2 linked regions of the Sus scrofa genome follow. The protein of the gene in region 2 purifies or fractionates together with the protein of the main gene of each other region. This does not show direct contact. Links are inferred from orthologs where the notes say so. Each region holds a gene or a part of one and is shown on either strand. Other genes may lie near its edges. The genes, in order: ERCC2 and CCNH.

What was found.
Region 1: the proteins of CCNH (region 2) and ERCC2 purify together in Homo sapiens (affinity purification with mass spectrometry; 3 studies listed by BioGRID and IntAct, counting the BioPlex papers as one, with this or other methods). This does not show direct contact. The link is inferred for Sus scrofa from reciprocal best matches to the Homo sapiens genes CCNH and ERCC2.

The regions. Positions count from the first base shown.
Region 1 is NC_010448.4:51,743,745-51,747,560, forward strand, and holds part of ERCC2 (TFIIH basal transcription factor complex helicase XPD subunit), read right to left. Parts: intron 2,794-3,816; coding exon 2,677-2,793; intron 2,590-2,676; coding exon 2,473-2,589; intron 2,147-2,472; coding exon 2,023-2,146; intron 1,927-2,022; coding exon 1,830-1,926; intron 1,712-1,829; coding exon 1,578-1,711; intron 1,484-1,577; coding exon 1,315-1,483; intron 1-1,314. UniProt on the Homo sapiens protein: ATP-dependent 5'-3' DNA helicase. Component of the general transcription and DNA repair factor IIH (TFIIH) core complex, not absolutely essential for minimal transcription in vitro.
Region 2 is NC_010444.4:94,994,320-94,998,135, forward strand, and holds part of CCNH (cyclin-H), read right to left. Parts: intron 2,558-3,816; coding exon 2,446-2,557; exon of another isoform or gene 1-2,445. UniProt on the Homo sapiens protein: Regulates CDK7, the catalytic subunit of the CDK-activating kinase (CAK) enzymatic complex. CAK activates the cyclin-associated kinases CDK1, CDK2, CDK4 and CDK6 by threonine phosphorylation.

The sequences.
Region 1 (3,816 bases), on a different chromosome or scaffold from region 2:
TCCCTCCCAGGTCCTCTCTCAGTGTCTCAGCCACGCTCGCCACCCTCAGCGACACAGCGTGAGAGTCCCACACACTCGGGAGACAATCTCACACACACTCCCGGAGCTTCGCACACACTGTGTCCAGCAACAGCCCGTACACAACACAGGGCCACTCAAGGCTCTCACCCTTCAGGGAGAGGCTGTGGAGCAGCAGCACGGCTTTGGTGTCAGGCAGACAGTCAGGTTTAAAACCCGCTTCCTGAACCTCCTTTCCTTTCCTCCACGGTCGACCAGGTGCCCCTCTATGTTCCCTGGGCCCCCAGGCCTCCCCCCATCCCAGCCCTGGCACGTCCCTCTCTCACTGGACTGTGAACCCCAGGAAGGCAGGGCCAGGGCTGTCTCAGTCCCCACCGTGTCCCAGCAGATCAGGCACTCAGGACCATGCAGGCGGCGAAGCTCCCCGCAGCCCTCACAAGTCTCCCACGGCAGGGTGAAAGGTGAGGCCCCATCGAGGGCTCCCCGCCCAACCTCAGGCAGAGCAGCCAGGAACTCCGGAGCCCCACAGGCCTGGCTTCGAGTCACAGCTACCCCCACAGTGCTGTGTGGCCCTGGGCACTGGCTTCCCCTCCCTGGGACACAGTGTCCCCATCCACAGCGCGAGGCGAGGACGCTATTGAGATCCCACGGATACGGAATGTAGCTTAGCTCATTGTCAGCACTCAAGATGCTAAGTTCCTGGCGTGGCTGCTTTCTCACCTAACCAACCACCTCAGGAACCTGGGAGTAAGGGGCTGACTCCCTGCCTGGGGCACAAAGGAGGAGACCAAGGTTCAGGGAAGACCACTGACTCAGGCAGAACAGCAAAGGAAAAGCCCAGGAAGCCCCACCCCCACTCCCGGGTCCATGCACCACCTCCCTGACCACTGAGGGGAGGCTCCTGCCCCCGGGGCTTGGGGGACAGTGGGAGGCGACAGGGGTCTGGGGGGCAGGATCCACAGCATTTTCTGCCAGCTCCCACCCTGCTGGGCCCATCAGAAGCCGCTCTCCAGGGCTACTCCCTCCCCTCCCCGTGTGGCCTGGGGTGGGATGAGTTTCCGCAAAGGTGCAGGGGCCTGGTCACCCCACCAGCTCCTCCATCCTGCACGGCCCCCGGGACCCCCGTGAACAGTCCACCAAACTCTCCTCTGCCTCTCATCTGCTGCCCGCCAAGCCCCTGCTGGCCCCAGAGCCCCCGACCTGCCCCCTCCGCCCCACGGGTGTGACACGCACTCCCCCAGGCTTCCATTAGTCCCCATACCGGCCCCGGGCCCACCCCCACCCTGCTGGACGAACCTGAGGGGCTTGCGCTGGATGCAGACGCGCTGGGCCAGGCCGCTGAGGAAGGCGGGCGGGCTCTCCTGCACCACGTGCTGCACCCGCAGCCGCCACTTGACGTACTCCAGCAGCCGCCGCAGGAAGCCCAGGAAGTGCTCGGCCGTGCGGATGGAGCCCGGCACCGCCTCTGCGGGGACACGGGCTCAGCCGGGTCGGTGGCGGGGAGGGGGGGTGCCAGGGGCCCAGCGGGGCGGGCGCGGGCACAGAGGCGGGGGGCTCACCCTGCAGCACCTCGTCGGGCAGCACGGGGTTGGCCAGGTGGGCGTCGGTCTCCCGGGCGGCGCTGGCCTCCCGCAGCCCCTCCACCAGGCGCCGGTACTCGTCCCGCAGACGCTGCTCGTCAGTCTCCTTGATCCTGCGGGGAGCCGGGGGATGGGAAGGGCTGGGGACACGCCGGGGACGGGGACCGGGGTCCTGGGGTGGGGGGCAGGGCAGGCAGAGAACCGGGCCTGGGAAAGGCCGGCGCCCCGCACCTGAGCACCGTCTTCTGCAGGGTCTCCAGGTTGCCCTGGCACCGATCCAGCATCCGGCGCGTGAGGTTGACACTCATGGAGTCGATGCAGACGTTGTCTGGAAGAGGAAGGAGGGGACGCCGGGCTCAGGCAGGCAGCTGGGGCGGCAGCCCAAGGGGCTGGCATGGCCTCCCAGCCCTGGCTCCCTCCTCACCAATGTTGTGGGCCTCGTCGAAGACGACGACAGCCTTGCGGGCCAGCTCCTTGGACACCAGGTCGGCGATCTTGGGGTCCAGCAGGTAGTGGTAGCTGTAAACCACCACGTTGGCGTGGAGGATCTGGGGGCCGGGAGTGCAGGGTTACCCCGGCCACCAGCGCCCACCTCGTGCTACTGCCCCCCGCCCACAGCACACGGCCCCAGTGCTGCCTGACAGGCCCGCAGAGACGAGGTGCAGAAAGGGGCTCAGGCAGACAGACAGACAGACACAGATGGGCAGGCAGAAGCGAACTGAGGAAAGACAGACACAGGCAAGGCACACACACTCAGAGAGACTGACTGACAAAGGGACAGACCGACAGGGGGACACAGGCAGAGGGACAGGTGGGTGGGAAGGCGTAACCCGCACGCACGCCCCCCCTGCGCAAGCCCTGCCAGCCTCCTCACCGAGTACCGGGCAAGGAAGTACGGGCACCAGCCCTGGCGCCGCCCCAGCGCCTTCAGGTCGTCCAGGTTGTAGATGCCAGCCGGCAGGGGCACCTGGCGCCCATGGACATCAAACTCCTAGGGTGACAGGGCACACAGGAGTCAGGGAGGTTGGCCGTGGTGAGTGGTCCCCGCCTCCCTCCCTCAGCGCTGCCCCGCAGGCACCTCATAGAAGCGGCAGTGAGGCAGGCTGGGGTCCTGCTGGTACTGCGCCCGCACGTAGGAGGCCGTGAGGCTGTGGCATTTTCCATCGACGTCCTTCCCAAAGCGCAGGGGTGTCACCTGAGGGGCCAAGAGGGCATCTTAGCACTGGGACAGGCCAAGGAGCCCAACCACTCCTGGAACCTGGGGCTCAACACCTAATGGCTAAGGCGGGATGGGGCCATCTGGCTGTCCTGTCCCGGGTGACACTGGGGCATCCGTGGAAACTGGAACCTCAACCTGCTTCCCTAGTAAACAGTTAAGACACCTGGAAACTTACTACAGGGAAGCAAGAGTTGGTACAATTGTTAGGCTCTTAAATTATTCTTTTTAAAACAGTAAGTCCAGAATTCCCATTGTGGGTGTTAAGAACCCGACTAGTATCCATGAGGATGTGGGTTCAATCCCTGGCCTCGCTCAGTGGGTTAAGAATCCAGTGTTGCAGTATAGATTGCAGATTCAGCTCGGATCTGGCATTGCTGTGGCTGTGGCACAGGGTAGCGGCTGCAGCTCCAATTCAACCCCTAGCCAGGAATGTATGCCACAGGTGTGGTCCTAAAAAGCAAACAAAAACAGTATGTCTTAGGGAGCTCCCTCGTGGTCTAGTGGTTAGGGTTTGGTGCTTTCACTGCAGCCTGGGTTCAATACCTGGTCTGGGAACTAAGATCCCTCATCAAGCTGCTCCACACAATGATCAAAAAAAAAAAAAAAAAAAAAAAAGTTAAGTCACATATGGTGTCAATTATATCTGAATTTTTTTTTCTTAATTACACCTTGAAGATTCTTTAGCAGGTAAATTACAGATAACTGCTTTATCTTTTTTCTTTTTAGGGCTGTACCCAAGGCACATGGAAGCTCCAAGGCTGGGGTCAAAGTGGAACTGTAGCTGCTGGTCTACACCACAGCCACAGCAACACAGGATCCGAGCTGTACCTTCGAACTACACCACAGCTGATGGCAATGCTGGATCCTTAACCCACTGAGCGGGGCCAGGGATCGAACCCACATCCTCATGGATACTAGTCGGGATTATTACTGTTGCACCACTATGGGAATTTCTGCTTTATCTTTTAAAATGCTAAAACAGCCAGAACCTTAGCAAGG
Region 2 (3,816 bases):
TATTAGCAAAGAGTTAAAGATCAATGATCAGTACAAAGTATATATAGGAGTTTAATCTGTAATAAATGACTATTTTAAATAACTAGAGAAAATCATGAAATATTTTTAAATGGCTGATACAAGTTTACTTTGAACAAAAATTAGTGAGATTTCTACCTCAAACCAATCACATACAATTCTAAATAGTTTTAACAGCTAAACAAAAGGCAAAATACAGAGTAAGACAAGGTGTTCAGGTGTACGAGCATAAAGCAAAAGACAAGCTGCCTATGTCACAAAGTAAAAGAAGCAACAAAAGAAAGTAGGTCTATGATAAATATAAAAAGAGGAGTATATAAAAAGAACCATAAGAAAACAAGACAAGAAAGTTGGGCAGAGGTTATAATTATGCAATACAGAAGAAACAGGATTATTTGACATGGAAATATCAGTATCAGAATAATAAGAGAAATGCAAATTAAAATACCGATGTGATGATTATTTCTTCACCCAGACTGGCAGAAGTTAAATACTGATACTATTAAATGTTGTACAATGTGTATGAAAACAATGAAAAGGGAAAAAACCCTTTTCTAAATACATAATAGTGAAAAGCTTGGCAAAGATAACAACTATAAGTTACCTCTCGGGATGAAACTGGGATTTGGGTTTTGGTTAAAGAGAACTCTGGTTTACCTGTATTAAATTGGCTTTAATAATGACACTATATTACTTGTGTATTAAAAAAGATAAAAGAATTTTAAAGACCAAGAAAAAATATTTTATCCTAAAGTAGTGCTTGTAAGTGTGATTTATGGACCATTTCCAGCGTGCAATGAGATAAGTATAGAAATTGAGTGTGTGTTTAGAAATTTTTATAGGAATTTGATAGATTTATTTATGACTACTGAATCTAATAAAATTAAGCTTATTGAATCTAATAAAATTTAAGCTTATTTTTTTGTCATTTTCTTTTTTCGAGTAATTATTTGTTAATATTTTATGTAAGTGTAGGTCTGTAATGGGTTAAAAAGAAAATTAACAGTCCTTTACAGTTTGAGAATCGCCCTTTAAGTACTCATAGATATGCAGGGTTTGCTTAACACAGTACACTTGAAAGAAAGATGTAAACTCTGGCCAATTAGGAACTTTGGATTATGGTCCATTCAGTCACCTAGCTAGAAGAGTAAGATCAATAGTTGAGTGGTCTAATTCAGAGGTGGACAAATTTTTCTTCAAAAGGCCATATAGTGAGTATTTTAATTCTTGTACGGGCATGTAGTTTCTGTCACAACTACACAATTCTTCTGCTATAGTCTGAAAACAGCAATACACAGTATGCTAGATGGATCTATGTTCCAATAAAACTATTTCTAAAAACAGGTTGTGGCCCAGATTTGGCCCTTGGGCCACAGTGTGCCAACACCTGGTCTAATAAGCCCATTTCAAAATCAATGTGAAAAGATTATAAATCAGTACTGCAATACTTTCATTCATTAAAGTCAACATTTTTCTTTACTTTTGCTGTAACACTGAAACCCAGGAGTGAAATTTACCAATTTTAGGTTCTATTCTAAGCCATGTTTTGCAGTTACAGCTACAAATATAAAATAGTCCCATATTTTACACACATCATAAGTCCTGGGATATTCTCCTACTATAGCTTTATAGTTAGAAGAATTTGAGTTACAAGTACCTGATCTGAAGGCCTTAGAATTCTGGTCTGATGTCTCATATATTATCCAATAACAATATAGTCATCAATTATGGAATCAGAAACATCTCAAATGCATCTCAACTGTAAGATGACAGACCTACCTCCCACTAAGTTTTACAGAATGTGTTCCACAGAAAATATAAAATAATAATTTTACCATTCTTATTACCTACCCAGATCCCCAACTGTTTAAACACCTGAAAGGTGTAAGCAGATCTTCAAGCTGCAGGTGATAAAGAGCTCAAATATAGTGAATTCCACATTCAGCAACAAGTCAATAAGACGTATTACAGTGTTCCTTATGGATGCAACAAGAAATCTAACAGCACATTTTCCTATTGATTCTGTCTTCAATATAAAGTTTACCACTGAGAGAAAATATGCCAAATTTCCATACCCTAGCTAATAGAAATAAATCTGGAACAGTGTACTTGTTCTCCAGAGGAGATAACCAGACCTACAAAAAACCTAGAGATTAAAAGGACAAGAAGAGGTTCATGAATTCCCTAGGAAGACTCTGCCTCATGGGATCCCACAAGCCAAAGAACACGTTAATCACAGCAGGAGCAGAATTGACTATAAAAAGCCAAATTCTTTTATTATCTCGTGTTTAATCCTGTTGAAAAAAAATCTGATTTAATAGGTAAGTCAGTTTTACCCATATGAGCATTCACCAATTAAATGACATTTTAAGCTAAACACAATAATAGTTATATCTGTTCTAGGATAACAGTGTCCCATCTACTTACGTAATTACGTTAAGTGCAAGCTCAGGAGAGTGACATCTCTCCAACTTCTGTTTCAGAACAGCAACTTCTTCAGATCTGGGTGGTTCATATTTTTTTACCAAGTTTCTCATGCCTATATGTATATAAAAGAAAGGATCCACATCAGATAATGAAAAGTATGGTTCTCATAAAGGGGATGAATAATATTTTCCCATCTAGTTTTGGGAACAACAAAGAACACTCCTGAAATGTGGTTATTATTATCAGGATTATTATTTCACATTAGAATTCAATGAACACCATACTCAAGTTACTATAGCTTCTGCTGCTTAGCCCGCGTCGTGTACAGCATAACGATAAGCAGGCTTTGCTAGTCAGTATTTTTTCCAAATCCTACCATGGTCACTTTACTCAGTTTTAAGGCTTTTAAAAAATCCCTATATGATTTAGTAAACAATCTTTGTTCTCTACCACCAACTATATTCATAACATTCTGTCCTACAGATGGAGGGCCTCATGTACAAGGAAAACATTATTATGTAATATGCAATGAAGGAAAAATGCTTATAAATACCCGTCAATGATGCTTTGCTTTAACACAATGCGGAACCTATACAATGAAGCATCACCAAGAAAACAAAAATACCCTCCTTATGCTAAAAGCAAACTACTACAGTGACTAAGCACACAAGGATTCTCCACCTGGGCCCTTTATATTATTCAACTACCACAAAACAAAGAATATAAATCTCATGATTTTTATAAGGAATGATGAGAGAAACAGGGCTAATTAGCCAGCCATGTGCTCCAAATGAGTGACTTATTTCATAAAGCAAATAAAGCAGTGTTTGCATCAAAACCCTTGGGACAGTATCTTGTGTGTGAAAAATTATGAATAAGATAATACCATTCCAGCTCTGAGTTTCAGCAAGAGCTATTCTTATTTTACATTTAAACAAATGGAGTAAAATGAAGGTAAGTGTCAGCTATAAAATCAGCACAGTGGGTTACCTTTAAGACCTCTTGTACTTACTAAATTCCTGGATCCTAATATCTATGGCCAAATCACAATTAGTTTTGGAAGTGAACCCTCTAGTGGTATAACTGAAAACCTACAGTTTTCTGACTGATAAATTCATCACTCTCACTTAAAGAGGGAAGACCTCGAGATCATTTCCAACAAAGAATCAAGAAATGATATTTACATGCCCTGAGGCATTTTAACTTTTGAAACATAAAACATAAAAACACTGATTAACTAATGTCATCCAAGATCAAGATCTTCAATGTCATATTTTATTGGCTTACTCAATATTTAAACCAGAAATTTATTCATAAGGACAACTGGCACAAAACATTTTGGAAACAAACATAACTGACTTTTAACCCTGA